Linked DNA regions of Drosophila melanogaster. The protein of the gene in region 3 interacts with the protein of the main gene of each other region in a pairwise test. Each region holds a gene or a part of one and is shown on either strand. Other genes may lie near its edges.

What was found.
Region 1: the proteins of CG3402 (region 3) and kmr interact in a two-hybrid assay, tested with the Drosophila melanogaster proteins (one large-scale study listed by BioGRID).
Region 2: the proteins of CG3402 (region 3) and GlcAT-P interact in a two-hybrid assay, tested with the Drosophila melanogaster proteins (one large-scale study listed by BioGRID).

The regions. Positions count from the first base shown.
Region 1 is NT_033777.3:13,712,431-13,719,411, forward strand, and holds the start of kmr (kramer), read left to right. Parts: upstream 1-2,776; 5' UTR 2,777-3,389; intron 3,390-5,023; exon of another isoform or gene 5,024-5,102; coding exon of another isoform or gene 5,103-5,609; exon of another isoform or gene 5,610-5,618; intron 5,619-5,681; exon of another isoform or gene 5,682-5,746; intron 5,747-6,981. Other genes in the region: Ubc87F (ubiquitin conjugating enzyme 87F), read right to left, coding at 5,103-5,609.
Region 2 is NT_037436.4:11,193,710-11,200,720, reverse strand, and holds the start of GlcAT-P (glucuronyltransferase P), read left to right. Parts: upstream 1-3,184; 5' UTR 3,185-3,321; exon of another isoform or gene 3,322-3,482; intron 3,483-3,845; 5' UTR 3,846-4,154; intron 4,155-7,011. Other genes in the region: CG7607 (uncharacterized protein), read right to left, coding at 241-323, 393-468, 523-590, 658-739, 793-896, 954-1,044; Plod (procollagen lysyl hydroxylase), read left to right, coding at 1,329-1,455, 1,517-1,951, 2,011-2,295. UniProt on the Drosophila melanogaster protein: Involved in the biosynthesis of L2/HNK-1 carbohydrate epitope on both glycolipids and glycoproteins. Enzyme has a broad specificity.
Region 3 is NT_037436.4:650,169-656,372, forward strand, and holds CG3402 (uncharacterized protein), read right to left. Parts: upstream 2,714-6,204; 5' UTR 2,597-2,713; coding exon 2,543-2,596; intron 2,405-2,542; coding exon 2,276-2,404; intron 2,109-2,275; coding exon 1,920-2,108; 3' UTR 1,374-1,919; downstream 1-1,373. Other genes in the region: Gale (UDP-galactose 4'-epimerase), read left to right, coding at 65-355, 416-937; MED30 (mediator complex subunit 30), read right to left, coding at 2,886-3,842; DNA polymerase Rev1, read left to right, coding at 4,274-4,309, 4,368-5,725, 5,780-6,062, 6,125-6,204.

The DNA.
Region 1 (6,981 bases), on a different chromosome or scaffold from region 3:
TGTATATATATAGATAGTTATATAATAGATAGTTATTTAGTGGCAGCCCAAAACAGATCCATGCTCAAAATTAAGTAAACACCTATGAGATATAAACAATCTACGGATTAGACTGCACCTCTAGCTGAAATTAGAGTTCCTTCTTTGTCAAGTGGTTTCCTCTGCTGGAGATCGCACCTCTGGCACTTCCACTTCCGGCTGGCTGGTGCAGACTCCACAACCACGTGCACATCCTGTTTATCCAGCATGCATATTTAGCCGAAAAACTCGGACAAAAAACTGCGCCGAAAGCAACTTTAACTATTAGCATTTAATTAAAGTTCATTTGCCGGGCGACAGACGAGGTCATTTCCACCCACTTCAGTTGGCTGGGGATGAGGACCTTTGCCCCGAGGAATAGAGAAGTGATGAGCTCTGGCCCTAGAATCCAACCAGAATCCAGGTAGTTGGGTTTAGGTTTGGGTTTGCTTTGGCCATGAATATGTAAGCTGCAGCTGGTGCTCAAAGGACAGGCAGGTCCTGGTCGCAAAATGTGTAATGACTGTCGGGGAGATGGAGGTCTCGGGTGCGGGTGTGAACTTAAAGCGGATGACCAGCTCGCCGGCAGAGAAATAAAGTTGCCTTTCAAAATAAATTCGTTTTGAGTTTTATGCAAATTGTATACAACCAACAACAGCAACAACAACAACAAACAAAGGCCAGACGAAATGCATGGCATAAACTTTGCCAACTTGGCTGGCTGCAATTGTAGTTTGTGATGTGGATGTGGATCTGGATGTTGCTCTTCCTGGTGGTTGGGGTTGATGTTGGGGCGGCTTTGATGGCATCAAAGTGAGCTTGTCGTTGTGCAGACAAATGTTACGTACTCTCGTCACACTCTTACGTATGCAAATGTCCCTTGCCATTGCCGGCGCAATGCTGCAGTGCGTCCTCCACAATTGACAATTGTTGAAAATGCAAATGGAAATGGAAATGCCAAGACATGTGCCCAACAGCCACACCAGCAATTCATACATATGCCATGGATAATGGATACTGGGCGCACTGGAGGTGTGTTGGGGGTGGCATGCGGCGCATTGAGGTAAAGACAAATGCAAAGGCGTTGTCTCTACTATCATCATCCGGCGACGACATCTCCTCAGATAAGATAAACGATGGCAAAGTCAACAGCAACAACTGGTTGGCTACGAAATGCACTGCAAGAAAATGCAATGAAGTATGCTAAATACACTTGGCATGAATTTAATCTATTGCTATTGTTGAAAAGTGTGAAATGAATATTCTTAACCAGTGTCTTACATAACATTTCTGTATTTTGTTGTATTATAAAACGAAATACAAATAGTTTAATCAAATTTAATTATATAATATTATTTTATTATTACTTTTTGATATGAGTACTTGACATTTTTCTGAGTGCATGTGGGAGAGGTCAGTGTAAATAAGTAAATACGACATTCGTAGCCCAGAGCAGGCCGAAATAAATTCTCAAGTGCAAATGAGGTAAATGACAAGAGGTACGAAACCATCATAACCTCTGACCTGCCACCGATCCCCCCTCCACCAACGAGCGACCCATAAACGCCCACTTTGCCGAGCATTTGACAGTCGAGAGCAAACATGTCCAAGATGAACATCCATTTTGCATTTGGGAAATGAAAAGCGGGAAAGCTACAACTGACGTACATACTAGCATACTAGCAGACAGCTTGTCTATGCAGCAGGCCATCGCCATCCAATCCATCTGGGCGTGCAAATGTATCTGTATCTGCTATCCAGTATCTGGCGCTCGTATCTATTCCGCCTGTCGTCTCGTCCGCCTTTTGCAGCTTCATCAAATATTTAGCGCCAGGCAGGCGGCTTTATCTCGAGGGAACTGGAAGGAGGGACAAATAAGCGCATTCATTGTGTTCGTTCAGTGTAAATACGAAACGGATGTAGCACTGCTTGGAAAATAACAACTTTGTAAACTTAAGAGCCTAACTCGACTAGTTTGGTACTGTAGAAATATGAAAAAAAGGAAAAACTATTGTACACAGCTATTTGTAAATATCCTCGATGGATAAATTTATATAAAAAAGTTAAGACTTAAGACATACTGTGTACCTTTATTCAAACTAAAACATTTATACCATATATAATAGATACCAAGAATATTCCAGAGATTTCTCTTGATATAGAATTTCTGAATTTCTGAATGAATGGCGTTGTTTTATGTGCAGCTTCTTTTTGGTAATTTCATCGATTTACCAATTTATCACTTTCCTGCGGGCAATCACTTGTTTTGTTAGTTTTCCTTGAGTACTTTTGTCCACTGCACTTAATAGCATCGTTTTAAAATGTGAAAAGGGAAAAGTTTGCGAGCTGTCCAATCACTAATGAATTAAACAAACATTGAGGGCATCGACGTTATTTCTCGTTGAAACGCAAATTTAATAAACCACCCACACCTATGAAAAAACCACCGAAACGCAATATACCCCTGCAGCAGATGCTATCTGGAGAGCAGTCCGAACTACCCTAGTCAAAATGGAAAATTGGGAGTGTGGGGCAGTGCCAACGACCAGCCAAAAAGCCGGCAACAACAAACGCCCGCGCTGTACCACGCCGGCAACATGTTGCGTGTTGCTGCCGTGCGAGCAACATTGCAATGTTTGCACTCGCGTGTGTCGGTGTGTGTGCGTGTTGTTTATCTCGCTGCCACTTGAAATGTTGCCAAGAAGCCGGCCAGCAACATTAGCAGCATTTCGAAAACTTGTTTTCAACGTAGTTGGGTTTAGTTTACTTTGAGACGGCGACGCAGGTGGACGTGTCCGAGTGCGAGCGAAAGAGAGCGATAAACGCGAGCGGACCGCGTTATAAAATATTACAAAAACAACAACAACAACAACGCCAACAAGAGCTCAGTTCATTTCAGTGTTTGTCTTTAGTTTTATGGCGCACGCTGCGCGTCAGGTAGTTTTTCAGTTGTATATATGTACGTATGTACATATAATGTTTTTTTGTGATTCGTCTCGCGGCAATGTTTTATGGCTGACAAAACCATCGAGCGTGTAAAGGTTTTGCACTAACCGTACGACGAAAAAGAGGAAAAAAAAAAGAAGTGATGTACATTCTACGAGTAGATGTAAAGTGCTAGTGTTTACCCTTTTTTGCCGGGATTACTCATCATCGCATCGGCGCATCATCGACACCATCATTATCATTCGTTTACTAGCGGGCAACTTTACGAAATCCCAAAAAACCAGTATCGCTGTGCCCAAGTATCTGCAAGATACGTGAGGCAGTCCAGACCACATATTGGAATTTACTTAACACGTATGCAACACGCACCCATACCAGTTAACATCGAGCGGGACCCATTGGATTTTGGAACCGAAAACTACAGGGTAGGTAAAATCGCTTGTAAATCGGGGTTTCTTCTCGAGAAAAACAAGAGACGCGAAGCAAACACTCACACACTTGACCAGCTGCGTTTTTCCACCCTCACCATAAAACCTAATGATTCCGAACTACCTGTTTTTGGATTGACCCTGGTTTTCCCATTAGCCGCCAGAGGAGATTTCACTGCACCAGCGCATACCATATAGTCCATATATCGGAAAGCTGTGCGGCTATTTATAAATCTAGATACCCTGCGTTTTGGGGCCCAGGCTCAAATCCGGTTTTCCATACCCATATATCCCCCAGCCCAGCCCAGCCATCAATTCAATTTCTACTGGCTGAGTGAGTTTTTAACTCACAGAAGAATCTCCATCTCCAGGTCGAGCATCTTCTTCGCTGAAGATTTCTGAAGAGAGCTGGTTTCTTCGGGCCGTTTTCTTTTCCCTCGCTTTGTTTTCTTTCGTTTCGTTTTCGTTTTTTACTATTTGCCCGATCGTCGTGGTGATCATGATGCTGTGGCTTATTGCCGCCAAGATTTTTTCCACTTTTTTTTTTTTATGATTTTGCTTTTTGCCGATTGAAGGTGCATGGCCTTATTTACCCAGTTTCCAAATCGCTCACCGATTTCTGCTTATTCTGTTTTGGGCTTTGTTTTGAGGTATTTGCTGAATCACACGGGGATCATTTGAATCTTTTAGCCAGACAGTCACTGTGTGGAATTGCGATTGGGATTTTATTTGAGAGTCACACCCAGTCCGTGGCGAATGAGCTAGTATCCCGCTCCGGAATTGACTCACGGCCAAACAATGCGACATGCGGCGAAGTGCTGTGGGGCCACGCTGGCTTGGGCAAAAGAGAAAAAATCAAAAATGCAAAACTTGTTGCTAATAAACAACAATTACAGCAAAAGCAAAAACAAGTTCAGCTAACCACAAAAATGCTGGCAGCTAAACTCTAGACTCGTTGCCCAGGAGCTCCGCCGCACTCCACTACACTCCACTCACCAAAACAAGTCGGTGTATGGAGCCATTTTCTGATGTTGCTGGCTCACACTACTGGCCATTCGCCACCAGCAACAACCAACAGCAACACCAACAACCAACAGCAGCAACACCAAGAGCAACAGCAACATCGGCAATTTGTTGTTGCTGCACTGGAAAAAAGGTGCTCAAGGAACGGACATAATGTTAACATTTTAAAAGCCAATTCACTTCTAAATCAGACCACATTATGGTCCTTTTATTGACCATAAAGTGTAGCCAAATGAAGAGAAATGCTGAGCCCCTTCTCTGGAATTTGGCTCAGTGCATGTGTAAATTTTTGTCGCCATGTGAAGACCATAAAAAGCGGCCAAGTGGCCAGCTGCCTCAGCTTTCCTCTGGAAGCCACAGAGCAACCACAGAGAACGTCCATAACTGTGTCAGTGTGCAACTAGAAGAGGTCTAAGCCTATTAAGCACACTGGCTTAAGATCGGCCTATGCCAGGAGGTAATACCCGTAGCTCCAAAGCGATTAAGTGTAATTAATGCCGACAGGTGTCACTGAATTGGCGCAAGCTCAAAGAGATTGAAATGCCCTAATTGGAGGCTCCAATTAGGAGATATTCTCCCCACTTTCGACACTTCAAAGTGCGAGATTTCCACTAGTTGCTCTCTTTATTCACGTGATTAGCATGTGTGCCGTTCCTGATCATCATGTCACTGCCCAGTCTATCCGGTCTATTCCACCTCCTCCTGACTACGGCGGACGCACCTGGTGACCTTGCGCTTGAATTCCGCATAATTCTCCCGGTACTCCTTGGCCGCATCCACATTGGCGGCCGACTCGTCATTGGGATCGGTGAGCATGGAGATAACGGAAAGAAGGATCGTCTCCACGGTGTGGACCGGTAGCCAGCGCTCCTCGGCCTTCTCGTAGCCCCACTTATCGTCACCAGGTTCGTGGAGGATCGAGATGCAAACGTCGCCGGCCTTGTCAATATTGGGATGCCAGATTTCGGTGATGAACTTCATCTTGGGCGGGCGCAGTGGGTACTCTTTGGGGAAGATCAGGTGAGCCTTGAAGAAGCCGCCCTCGTATAGCGTATCTGGGGGACCGATGATCACCACCTCCCATTTGAAGATGTCGGAGTCGCTGACCAGACCGGCGGAGAAGCCCTCGACGGGATGGCGTTGTAATTCGGAGAGCTGGCGATTGAGCAGTAGCGATGCTTGCAGTTCGGACATGTCACTGGACTTGGGGGGGATAAGCACCATCAGTGGGATAAGCCATTTAAGTACAATCACATTTGTACTTACTGGAATTTTGTTCAATTGTTTCGAGTCACTTTCTGGTTTACTTCTACGGAGGCTGAACTACGCTCAATGCGACCTGTCAGCTTGCCGAGAGAAAACTCATGCTGCGACTACTTCGATCTATAATCACGATCATGGTTTATCATGGTATAAAAATGTAAGTTCTTAACTATACATTAACGGGATTCCATCGACATTTCTAAGATAAAAAGCCTAAGAGCCACAAAAGATCAATTCCTTTTGGAATGTCTGGCTGCAATCTCATTGCAATTGTAGCCCTTTGAATGGAGATGGAGTATAGAAACTATCTCCATAGAAATCATCTTGAAAGCGACTTGAAAGTTTCCATTATAAGCTCTTTTGGCTGTCGGTCTGGAATGGGTCCAAGGAAAGTCCGAGTCCCTCCTTTCCTTTCATTTCCCAGCACTTTCCTGCAATTACTTGGCCGTTGCTAATGCTACTGGTGCCACTCATTTTTCCTTTAATGTTTTCTTTGCCCGTGCTGGCTGAATGGAAATTATGATGGCCGCCACATTGTAGCCGCTTGGTTTTGGCCTTTCGTAATTGCGCACAAATGTTGGCCCAGAGCTTTTTTTTTCATTTTTGCTGGCCTGCAACTTCGACCACGACATGTGGCTGCCCCATCGACTGTTTTTTTTTTGTTTCGCCTTTTTGCCAATTGCATACGACTCCGGCATTTGGAAATCCGCAACTTTAGCTGACTATCTGACTAACTGGGCAACTGAAATTATGTTGCCGCAAATGTGTGAATCGTTAATGTCTCGATGCTGCCAGCAGGGGCATTTTGTGCTTGGTCTCTTGCCACTGCCGGTTTTTCAAGTTTTCCATGCAGCGCGAGTTTTCGCACAAAAATTCCTTTCCCATTTTTTCGAAGCATTATTATTATTGTTGTAATAACATTTACTTAGCATCGGTGCAAAACGCAACAATAAAATCATGTGCAGTTCCTCTAGGAAAACGCAGTCGGACTCGAAATTTGCTAAATTATCCAGCACATGCCAAACGTAAAGGGGAGGGGCGGGGGCGGAGGTTTTAAAACATGTTTGGCCAGAATACAGACACATAAGACCGACAGCTGCTGCTCGGCCGGTTCCTCCAGCACTTCCAGCTCTTTTCATATCTCCATATTCATCCGACTCTGCCCATTTAAGTGCCACATGTCGTAGACGGTCTTCTTTGCTTCTTGTAGATCCCGCAGGGAAAGCGATATGACAGCGAGAGCCGGGAAACTCACACGTGCCACAGTGCTCCTCCCAGCGAAACTCGATTTTCCATTCTCTAC
Region 2 (7,011 bases), about 11 Mb from region 3:
ATTTGTCGGCTTTGTGCGCACACACACCTATGTACTTTGCCACTCACAGATACTCACATAAATGCACACGAGGAAGCAGAAAGGTCGGATTGAAATAGACTTTAAATTTCCATAATCCGAAACGCAAAAATGTATTTTTAAATATTTTTATTTAATTGTATCGAAAGCATTGTAGTTTATAGTTACATCTCAGCTTTACTGTGTCAAAGGATTTTGTAATGGCTGAAAAGTGGGCTTTTCTCAAAAGTTAACCATAACGTAGTCCGTGCGAAAACCTCGACGATCGATGGCATAGATATTGTCCGCTTGACACTCGTAGAAACCTGAAAAGATTGGTAATAATATATACATATAATCTAAGTATACATTTAATGATCATTTGTCGAACTTACCAGCATCCATTTGAGTGGTTGGATCGATTTCCATTTTAGATTTAACAATATTCGCTTCTATGTGAGATTCGTGTACCTGTAAATGTAAAAATTTTATATATATATTTAAAGTATTAATTTCGTAAGTTACCTGAAAGAATCGGTGTTGGTAGAGCTCTGCGCCATCCTTAAACCAGGTAATGGTCGGTCGGGGATTGCCTAATATCCAAAAATGTCAGTATGTCAATGTTTGGTGACTTGGTAACTTCATCTAACTAACTCTCACCTTGAGCCATGCAAAAGAAAGTGATCTTGCGTCCCAGGGTGTAGTCCAATTCAAAATGCGAAGACTTTATGATCTTGGCGCCCTGAAAAATGTTACCACATGTATTAATGTTGAAAACAATGTTGACCCACTCACATTTTCATGATCATAATAGTTGACTGCATCCTGTGATCGGTGTTGGATGACCACGGGTTTTTTGCCCGTGTAGTTGCGACGCTCCGTCTTTCCCGCAGTGCTTCCTGTGACAAAATCAGATATTTAATTTATGCTTAATTAATATAGTTTAGATCGCTCACTTTGGGCGGCTATGTAGATGAGATCGCCGAAAATCAAAAAGCATAGACAGAGGAGCACGATCCGATGAAGATTACAGATGCCACGAGGCATTATTGTCGAGCCGAGATTCCGATTCCGATCGCCTGCGGTGAATGTTGTTTTCAAACTGCACTGTCGACATCCGAACAGAACGCCATCCACATCGCTCTAATGTGAGCGTTTTTATTGAATTAAGTGAATTTAGTTGGGGGCTTTCGACGGTGCGACGTCACTTTCCATTTTCGCAACATTGTTGCAAATCCGCTGGACATCGAGATCATTCCGCTCTCGACTTTATCGTTCGCCCTGTTTTGACTAACTCATTCGTCACTTGCGTTTCGTTCGCCCATTTCCAGTGGAATGTTCAATGTGCCCCATGTAACGAGCATATATCTGGTGAAGAAAACCGCCTTCGATGCCATCTCCTTCAAGCACAAGGAATTCGATCCCGACATGGCCATGTGCGAGTCACTCCGAAATGCGGTAAGTGTTTGACAGAACATCGTGTTCAATTGGTTACTAATGTGTCCACTCTTCTGTCCAGGGTATCTTCATGTACGCCAGCAATCTGCGCATATTCGGTCACTTGGTCAACGCCGATGACTTCAACACTACGGTGACACGTCCGGACTTTTATACGTTGTTTAGCAACGAGATCGACTGGACGGAGAAGTACATACATCCGAACTACTCACTGCAGCTGAACGAGAGCAACAAGATACAGCAGCCGTGCCCGGATGTCTATTGGTTCCAGATCGTGTCGGACGCGTTCTGCGACGATTTGGTGGCCATCATGGAGGCGCACAACGGTTGGTCGGACGGCAGCAACAACGACAATCGGCTGGAGGGCGGATATGAGGCGGTGCCCACCAGGGATATCCACATGAAGCAGGTGGGCCTGGAGCGGCTCTATCTTAAATTTCTTCAAATGTTCGTTCGTCCGCTGCAGGAGCGCGCCTTTACGGGTTACTTCCACAATGTGAGTCAAAGAATTATCATTTTGAAGATTTTGTTTTAATATTCTCACTAATTTTGTAGCCTCCACGCGCGCTGATGAACTTCATGGTGCGTTATCGGCCGGATGAACAGCCTTCTCTGCGACCCCACCACGACTCCTCCACGTACACCATCAACATTGCGATGAACCGGGCGGGTATTGACTATCAGGGCGGTGGCTGTCGTTTCATTCGTTACAACTGCTCCGTGACCGATACGAAGAAGGGATGGATGCTGATGCACCCGGGTCGACTGACTCACTACCACGAGGGATTGCTAGTGACCAATGGCACGCGTTACATCATGATTTCCTTCATCGATCCGTAGGGTAGCTAATTTAAGTCGTACTCTTTATATCAAACTGCCATATCGGCCACTCCAAAGAACTGCATACTAAGCCCAATGAACAATTTATGTTGATGGAATTGCGGCATCGGCCTTCTATTTCTGATGATTTTACATACTACTTTGAGATCGATAGCTTTAGGATACTCTGATGAATCTGTTGCAGCCTTAAGTTAATTATAAGCTTTTTTACCAAGTGCAAAGTGTTCAATTTTTGAATAAATTAATTCAATTATTAAATGAAATACATTTGGTTTTGTTTTTGTCTGGAGAAATTCTTATCTTTTATAATTTCAAATCAAATATTTAATTTACGTGGTTCAATTTAATTCGCTTTCGAAAGAATATTGTTCTCTAACGTGAAATGCTGAACCAACACAGCTGTTTTGCGAAAGCGGGATAGCACCTTCAACAGTGCTGCCCCCCACGCAACTAACAGCAGCGGTTGTGCAGACTTCTGCTGTTAGCAAACATTTACAGCAGACACTTGACAGAATGCACACCAAAATTTCTCTAGTGAGTTTTAAAATAAATAAATCTATATGAACTTTAAAGTTTTTTAATCAAAGATAAATATATTTCTAAAAAAAAGCAGGATGTGCATACATAACATTTTATTTTGACTAAATAAAGATTTACACGCTGCCATAATTTAAAATTCAACAAAAAACATATTCTATTTTAATGTATATTTTTTTATATTTTAACATATGAGAGGCTAACAGAGTAGCTTGATTACAGAACCCGTAAGAATGTTAGGAAGTCGAACCACTGCGTACTGTTGTTGCATCGAGCACAAGGCTTCGAACTTGCGCGAGTTCGAACGACTCCAAAAGAAAAGTGTATTTAAGCGCTTGGCGAAGCACGCTCTATGTTATTGCTCGATTTTCGTCCGCGTAGCTGGTTGGTTCGTCACAATTTTTTATAAATTAGGAAGAACTAAATAAACTAAGCGGACATTGGCTTAAAGGCCAGCAAACAATATACGGAAATAAACAAGTTTGTTGGGTAAATGCAACTGAAATTGACGAATACTTTCGAGAAATTTAGAAGACTCCAGTGTTTGCAGACTTCGTGTGCGGGTGGTGTGCGGTACATTTACAGTTAGTTGCGCAAAGTGCGTGTTTAAAAATAACAAAAATCGACGCTGGATATAAAAACCGAAATAAGTAGGGAGAGCAATAAATGAGTGGCGAAGAGAAATGCAAATTTATCGAGTCGGTCAATTTAAAAAAGCCGCATCCTGGAAAATTGTGTGCGTGCGTTCGTGTGTGTGTGTGTCTGTGAAATAAACAAAAAAGGCGAAAGTTTACTCGCTCTCTCTCTCTTTCTTACTCTCTGTTGCTCGCTGTGGCGCTCTCTCTTTCTGTCGCAGGACTTGCTTCGATTTTTCTTCCGCCTGCTTTTCCTGTTTCATTTCCCTACATTTTTTTATTACTCTATTTACACTTGGCGAGTCCTGCCTTATGTGTGCACACATGTGTATGTGTGTGCTTTCTCACACCTGATGTTTTTGTTGTTCCTGCTTTCAGCCGCTCCTGTTGGCCAAGTTTTTTTTTGTTGTTGCTTTGGCAACCGTTGGAACAACAACAGCAGCAACAACAACATAAACAACAGGGACACATAAGGGTACTTCCATTTCTGAAAACATTTGCTCTTTTGAAACAAAAAATAAAAAGAAAGAAAAACCCAGCCAGACAGTCTGGAAAATCCATAGAAATACAAACACAATTTTAAGTCGGCACTAAAAACCGAAAGTGGCTGTATCCCCGATTTTGATGAGCAGCCAACGGAGATTTCCGGTATCCAGCCAAATGGCGAGGTGGAGTTCCACGTTCCAGGTGAGTGCGATATAGTGCCACATGCCCACCCCACCCCTTTATAATTTCACCGCACACGGTGAGAAATACCATTTTCTCCACTTTGCAAACATAATCGTATCGAACGCAATTACCAAAAATCATTTGACTTGAAACAGGAAACACTAGCTGGAAAAAATTTTATTTATTATCAGCATTTCAAGCATATTCACTTTCATGATTGATTGCACTTAAACCGTTGCCATTGAACGAGGTCAAAAAATAGTATCTTAAAGGAAAGGTAAAATTTAAAGATACGACAATAACATTTTCAGTTCCAATTAAACTGTTTTCAATGATGAAAAAGTAGTTTGAAAGCATACTAATTTTTAAAAACAAAAAGTGCTTGCAACTTTAAGAAAACGTTTCATGATTGATTGCACTTAAATTTTTGCCATTGAACATGGTCAACAAATAGTATCCTAATGGATAGGTAAAATTGAAAGATACGACAAAAACATTTTCAGTTCAATCGAACTGTTTTTAATCATGAAAAAGTTATTTTAAGCGTACTACTTTTTAAAATTAAAAAGTGTTTGCTACTTTAGGAAAACATTCATTGTTATTTATATTTATTAATATTTAATATTAAACAAATATTTTCATAATTTATAACTACTTATAGCAAAGGCAATAAGAAATATGAATATTGGATAATAATATTAAATTACGGTACTATAATATTAACTTAACTTAACTAAAATATTAAGTTACGGTAGTTAATATAATTCTTTACTGCTCTTCAGTAACTTCGAAGCTGGCTTCACTAAATGTGTCTTCTCACACAATATATTAATTATATATTTGCATATTACCTGAAAACCAAGCCGAGTCTTAGCCTTGAGTTGTCAAAACTGCTCACTATCAATATATTATATGCGGTATACATACGTATTTATTTATTTATTTTTTTTCCGTGGAGTTAAGTTCGCATGTGTGTGCCGATTGCTTGATATTTTCTATTAGCGGGTGCTGGATTTTCCTTGCTCGTCGCCGTGAGCAGCTGCTAATGGGTTGTGAAAAAAGTGGGCGAACGAAGCGGGCTGGAAGGCTGTGGAAAAGTTAGGGAGGTGTGTGTGTGTTTGGGGGAGGGGGGGGGGGGGTGTGGCCAAGCATGTGTGAAACTTCCTCACAGTGGAAAAACATATGGTGGCAAGTTCAGTGCTTAAGGTTCGAGAACGCAAGTTTCCACACTTGATTATATGGCCCATAAATTTGTAGTACATTTAAATAAATGCCATATCTTTGCAGCTTACGTGTTTTGGTATATTATTTTATTACTATTAGGTGAACACAATTAAATTTTAGTTACAAAGTTCTGTTGTTAAGATGTATAATGCTTCTTAAAGATAAAAACCAGTTACATATATACCAGATTAAGCTAGAAGTTTTAGGTTAGGCAAATAAAAATCTAAAGTGTAACACAATTTAAAACTATTATTCCAGTGGATAGTTTTGCATATGTTCCTGATTTTTTGTGTGAAGTTCTTTTTTATTTGTTTGTAGATTTTCGAGATGTTTCCTGCAGGCGAATGCCTCGCAAAAATTTACCAACTGGACCACAAGAAACATGTGGTAATGATAAAGAATTCTTAAGCAGCTTTCTATTTTTGGAATAAACATGTTTAGCGTGTTTGTTAGTTGAACTAGTTAAAGTTTAAACATCAGATTTCCATCAGCTTGGTGACCCAGAACAAGAGTCCGTCGCTTGAAATGTCATTGGCTTCCTATGAAGAGGACTTCTTCAAGGGCTTGGAAGCCCTATATCAAGTCTACATCCCGGCAATCATCATAAAAGAAACCAGCTGAGCTGGCCCGGGGCAGGTGGATGGATAATGGTGCACCTCTCTCTGGAAGGCACATATGCAAATGTTGGCCCAGTGCCCCCCACTTGGAGCTTCACCTCCGTTAAACCCCTCCTCCGCTCCACGACCATGTGCGTGCGTGCGAAATCTGCGAGCAGAGGCAAAATGATTAACAAAGGCTCCCCGAGGTGCGGCAATATGTTGGGGCGGCACCAGCAGTGGGTGGCTATTTGTACTAGACGTGCACTGGCAGAAATTACGTGTGAGAAGATCTTGATCTTTTACGGACATAACTTATTGGGCAAAACTAATTCCGGGTTTCAAATTCCCTTTGCTTCTTAAAAACTATGAAAAGGAATGAAATAATTTATATGTACGTAATAAGTAGCTAACTTAGCCTACATTGATAGTTGTTAGTTAAGTTAACTAGCTACCTTTTGGTAGGTTTGTCCGTTAAGTTCGAAATCTCGTGCAATTTCTTTCCGTGACCATGGGCTTTTGCCGGCGTACGCGCATGAGGAATTACATCCATCGTCACTGACACGGACACCGACCGAGACGCGGACATTGGGACAGATCCTGGACAGAGGAGCGCCCCTCAGGACAGGCGCAGTGCGGTTGGAACAACCAGGGCCCAGCCCAGTGCTCAGCCTGCCCGACGTTCCTAGTTTCCCTCCCCTCCACTCATCATCTTTCTCGGACGCCTATGTCCTGGTTAATGACATTTGAGTGAGCGAGAAGAAGGTGGGCGGTAGGAGGGGGCAAAGGACACCCGGCGGCGACGCAGGCCGAGCGAGTAATTTGTGTCACGTTTTAATTTTTGACGCCGCAAAGGACGTTCAAGTGTCTCCCCTCGTGATTATGACAATTAGGATTGCGTTGAAATCCTTCTTGCTTATTTTGCTACGCGTATTTAAAAAGGTTTATTGTGTAAGCCTCGCCTGGGGAGCTTTTGTCCAACTTATGCTTGTGGCCCATTAAAGTAAATTTCGCGGCGAGTTTGCGCTGCTCGGAATTAAAATTAATCACTTTTA
Region 3 (6,204 bases):
GAGCTGGTTATTACAGATTTGGATTTCCCAAACTAATAGGTACATATATTTACATCCCTTTCAGCACAAAATCGACATGGTGGCCCACTTTGCCGCCCTGAAGGCCGTGGGTGAGTCCTGCCGCATACCTTTGCAGTACTACCACAACAACATGACCGGCACCAATGTCCTGCTGGAGGCGATGGCCGACAACAATGTCTTCAAGTTCGTGTACAGCTCCAGCGCCACCGTATACGGTGAGCCAAAGTTCCTGCCCGTGACCGAGGAGCATCCCACGGGCAACTGTACATCGCCCTACGGCAAGACTAAATATTTCACCGAGGAGATTCTCAAGGATCTGTGCAAGTCTGACAAGGTAGGAGGATGTCATTTCTTGATGTCCATAAGTTCTGTACTAAAGAATTCGCTCTTTCAGCGTTGGGCAGTGGTTTCGCTGCGGTACTTCAACCCGGTGGGTGCCCACATCAGTGGTCGGATTGGCGAGGATCCGAACGGCGAGCCCAACAACCTGATGCCCTACATCGCACAGGTGGCCGTGGGTCGACGTCCCAGCCTGAGTGTCTACGGCAGCGACTTTCCCACGCACGACGGCACCGGCGTGCGCGATTACATCCACATCGTGGACCTGGCCGAGGGACACGTAAAGGCGTTGGACAAGCTGCGCAACATCGCGGAGACGGGCTTTTTCGCCTACAATTTGGGCACCGGCGTGGGCTACTCGGTGCTGGACATGGTGAAGGCGTTTGAGAAGGCCTCCGGCAAGAAGGTCAACTACACTCTGGTGGACCGACGGTCCGGAGATGTGGCCACTTGCTATGCGGACGCCACGTTGGCGGATAAGAAGCTGGGCTGGAAGGCCGAGCGTGGCATCGACAAGATGTGCGAGGACACGTGGCGCTGGCAGAGCCAGAACCCAAACGGGTATGCCAACAAGTAGAGCTGTATATCGCCACGTTCCTGCCGCTCCGCAAGTTCCTGAGTTACTACGCCTGATAATGGCTCAGGTAGCAATTTCTATTTGCCTCTAGTTGTGTATATTTCTTTCCAAATTTCGTGTAGTATTCGCTCACTTCGATGTGTGCAAGTGTGCGTATGTAATCCAAAGTACTTTGTAATTAAAAAGGCTTTTCGCTGTTGTCATGTAATTTTGTGACCGTCATTTACGCGTTTGGTGACCGCTGGCATCATTGACGCGTGCCAATTGGCGCAATCACGTAATTAAGGTCACCGACAAGGTGGCACTGGGAGATTACACTTGGCATTAGGTAAAATAAACACACAACTGCATCAACCATTTGTCAGATCTTAATCAAAAATGGCATAATCACATTAAGCTGACCAAAGTTACAAGAAGACGTCTAACTCGCACATTTATTTAGCAAACATTTATTCAAATGCAATATAACATTAAAAACTCAATTTTAAACTTAAGTGATGCGCCTTCTTCGCACATATCTGCACAGTTAAAGTCATTTATCACAAGTATGTACTATGAATGTATGTTTCTTTCAACAACTCTGCGTTCGGCTGCTGCTTCTGTTTGGTTTTGGAATGGTCTGCACGTATAAAAGTACAAAATTGTTTATATTCGAGCCTGTTGTTTCTGGGAGTGTTTGTTTGTATCGGTATTTGGCAATCTGTTTTACACTTAGGAGCTTGGCGATTCGTTCAACAAGTGATGGAGAGGCAAAGAAATCGAATTCAACAAGAAGCATTACTAGGTGCTACATTTACGTCTGGCTACATGTGTGTGCGATATGCATACGTAATGAATTAATATGTATAATATGGTAGTTCTAAGTATTCGCATAGGTTGCAGGAGGCAAAGAGATCCGTAGCCCAGAGGGGCGGTGGAGGGGATAGTTTAAATGCCGCTTAAATACTGCTGTAGTCTGTGGAGACCCTGCTCCGAGCACCACTTATGTGGAGGTCACGCCCTTGCGGGCCACCAGCATGTTGAGTATCGGGTTTTTCCGGATGTAGCTCACGGCCTTTTTGTGGGTGACCATGGTGAAGTCGTAGCCGTTGCACTGCAGGATCTTGTCGTGGATCCGCAGACCTGCTCGGGCGGCGGGACTGCCCTCGTGCACCTCGGTCACATAGATGCCCTATTTTCAAAGGGGAAAACGTAACATTGTAACATTGAAACTGCTCTTAAGATACCGAACTAAAACTAAATTCCCCGACTTTCAAGGAGAGCTATAATTATTAGCTTTAAGATTGAAGCTCTCTTTTATGCCCGGAATTAGGTTCTAGTGTTTCCCAAGTTTCTCACATAATCCGTGTATCCCTGAGGGCTTTTCTTGTAGTCCTGGTCGATTCCGCCGCCGATCTTGAAGCCGCACTTGAGGATCTCGCGCCCCTCCTGGTCGTAGTCCTTCTCCTTGTGCAGCGTGATGGGAATCTGGGAATTGTGAGTCACATTTCATCAATCACTCGAATTTGAAAGTGGCTTGTCTTTTTTGCTCCAGCGACCCAATTTCACCTATACACACACAGGCGACTGTGCGTGTGAGCCAGGTTTAGTTCGTTCGCAACTTACGCTCAAGCACTCCATCGCCGTGCCGGCCTGGTGCTGGAATGCCATTTTCGCCATGTCTACCGATGCTTTGACTAACTTTAATTTGCTAGATTAGCTAAGATTCCGCTGGTAAATTCGTCTTAAGATTGTCGCCCACAACAAACTCTGCTTCTTCCTCGCAATCATTTATCGATGGCGAAAAATCGATAGGTTGCAGCAATAATGCGATTGTTGCCAGCGACTGCCGCTGACTTTAAATATATACTTTTCATATAAAATAAAAACATGAAGGTCTTTACGATTGCTGTTTGGCAATGTTTCTTAGTTTTATTTATACTATATTATACATCTAGAGTCCCTATGCCTATGAGCGCCGCATGGCCAGCATGGTGTTGATCTCCCAGATGATGATGCGTGTCCGATCGATGATCTCGCGTAGCTGCCTGTTCTTCAGCTTGACGGTCTCTATGAGTTCATGGTTCTCCTGCAGGACTTTCCGGTACTCATCGCACAGCGAGGGCTCGATTCTCGGTTCCGGCTCATCGCGGTAGGGAATCAGACTCTCGGCGCTCATGTAATCCATTCCGGCGTCGTTGCACTTCTCGTAGATGATGCGCACCCTCTTGAAGAGCAGCCGGATGGTGCGGAAGTACTCCTGCACCTTCTTCTCGGAGCTGTTTTCCCTGTGCGAGGTGGGCTGGATGCCCTTGAGGGAGGCGAAGACCTCCTGGAAGCGCGAGGCGATATCCTGCACCGTTTCCTGACCGAGACGGGACAGCTGCACAATGTTAATCTCCTTGTGAGGATTTTGCTGCGAGATAGCCAGCATATTGTTGCTGCCCCCGGCTCCACCGGGTGGAATTCCTGCGACCGGATTGAGTTGCTGTTGCTGTTGGGGAATGTTCTGCTGGGGCATGTTTTGTTGGGGCTGCTGTTGCTGCTGCTGTGGAACCACTCCCCCTCCGCCCATTCCCACACCACCGCCCATTCCCACTCCGACGCCCACTCCTTGTTGGGGCACCATCATTTGCTGCTGCATCATCTGCTGCTGCTGCTGTTGCTGCATCTGGTGCTGCGGAGACATGCCGGGCATCAGGCCGCCAGGACCTCCAGGTCCTTGGGGATTCATCTGCATGCTACCCGGGCCGCCCATCATGCCCATTTGTTGTTGCTGCTGTTGATGTTGAGGCGACATGTGCATTTGCTGCATATTGCCGTGCTGCATGCCAAATCCACCCATCGGCATCATGTTGGGGCCCCCGCCTCCTCCGCCGCCGCTCGATGGTCCCTGATTACCCTGGTTTTGACCGTATTTCCACATTTTGCAACGTTCTTATAAAATAAACAAAATATCACGCAGAACGATAAACTTTGGCAAATGACACTGTTGTCGATAACATAAAACAAAACGGATAGTGTTAGATAACGCTGAAACTGTATGCTCGCAAACAGCTGTGAAGTCGCGGGTTTTAAATTACCAATCCTAAATGATAGATCTAGATCTAGATCTAGATTATCTTCACTAGATAAATTTGAGTGTTTTTACTAAGTTTTTATTTGGTGATTACTAAAATTTAAATTCTTAGTCAAATCCAAAATGGTAATAATAGCCCCCTGCAAAACTCGTTAGGAATGCGTCCATGCGAAAAGAGAGTTGCCACATGCGCGCAAAAATAATGAACATAGGTGTGTCAGCTGAGCGGTATTGGTGGAATTCAATTTTGGCTTTTTCATGCTTTTAAACGATTAAAAATGACCCGCGATGAGGATAATGGTTTTAGTGAATGGGTAAGATGTAGATAAAATGCTAAAAACATTGTACATAAACCAAACCTGCTCTTTTCAGGGCGGCTACTTCGAAGCCAAGAAATCTAAACTTGAGGAGCAGTTCGCTGCCGCCAGCGATCCATTTCGCAAGTCGGACCTCTTCCAAGGAATTTCTATATTTGTGAACGGCCGGACTGACCCTTCGGCGGATGAACTGAAGCGTATTATGATGGTGCACGGCGGGACCTTTCACCACTACGAAAGGAGCCACACGACGTACATAATAGCCTCCGTTCTGCCCGATGTGAAGGTCAGGAACATGAATCTCAGCAAGTTCATCAGCGCCAAGTGGGTGGTGGATTGTCTGGAGAAAAAGAAGATAGTAGACTACAAACCCTATCTGCTGTACACGAACCAGAAGACATCGCAGCCCATGCTCATCTTTGGGAAACCCAAAGACAACGGCGCAAATGAGAGCAAATCGGATGTGGAGCCGCCGAAAGATAAAGCGGAAGTGGAAGTAGACTCTACAAAAGATGAAACGCAAATGGAGTTGGGTGGCATTCTCAAGAATTTGCAGCAGGCTGTGGCCACTTCGCCGGAAAAGGAGGCCAGTGCATCAGAGAGCAAGATCACAAACTTATCCACCACCTCGAATAACTCCACCACCGCTCGCACAGCCGCGGATCCAAATTTCTTAAGTGAATTCTATAAGAACTCACGACTGCATCACATCGCCACTCTAGGCGCGGGTTTCAAGCAGTATGTCTGCCGGTTGCGTCAGAAGCATGGTACCCAGGGCTTTCCCAAAAGAGAGACACTGAAGTCCCTTGCTAATTCACACCACAATTGTTTGGAACGCTATGTGATGCACATTGACATGGACTGCTTCTTTGTGTCCGTGGGCCTAAGAACCCGTCCTGAGCTTCGTGGGCTGCCGATTGCGGTGACCCACTCGAAGGGAGGTAACGCAGCCACCGATGTACCGGTGCATCCGCAGGCGGACCGAAAGGCAGAGCTGGAACTCTTTGCCCAGCGCTTCGAGCACCATTTCCACGATGGAGACAAGGCGGAAAAGGTGCGCTCGGGCTTCGACAAGAAAATGTCGCTCTCGGAGATCGCCTCCTGCAGCTACGAGGCGCGGGAAAAGGGTATCCGCAATGGCATGTTTGTGGGCCAGGCCCTGAAGCTGTGCCCGGAGTTAAAGACGATTCCGTACGACTTCGAAGGCTACAAGGAGGTGGCTTTCACTCTGTACGACACAGTGGCTCAGTATACCTTAAATATCGAGGCTGTGAGTTGCGACGAGATGTTTGTGGAGCTAACCGATCTGGCACACGAACTCAATGTAGATGTGATGGCTTTTGTGAGTCACCTCAGGCAGGAGGTTTACTCCAAAACGGGATGTCCGTGCTCAGCAGGAGTGGCAGGCAACAAGTGAGAGACCAAATAAGCCTTTTACAATTATAATATATATTATATATATTATAGGTTGCTGGCGCGTATGGCCACCAAGGAGGCCAAGCCGAATGGCCAGTTCTTGTTGGATTCGAGCAATGATATTTTGGCCTATATGGCGCCGATGTCTTTGGATTTACTGCCCGGTGTGGGCAGCAGCATAAGCCATAAGCTCAAACAGGCGGGACTGAATAATTGTGGAGATGTTCAGAATACAACGTTGGAGAAGATGGAAAAAGTGCTGGGCAAGAAACTTGGACAGAATTTGTTCCAGAACTGCAGAGGAATTGATGATCGTCCTTTGGCTTACGAGCAGGTTGGTGTGCAGATTTTATTGCGTCCCACATATTTGTTTCTAATACCGTACTTTTCGTTTAGATCCGCAAAACAGTTTCTGCCGAAATGAACTTTGGTATTCGCTTTACCAACTCGGTCGAGTGCGAACAATTTCTGTGTCA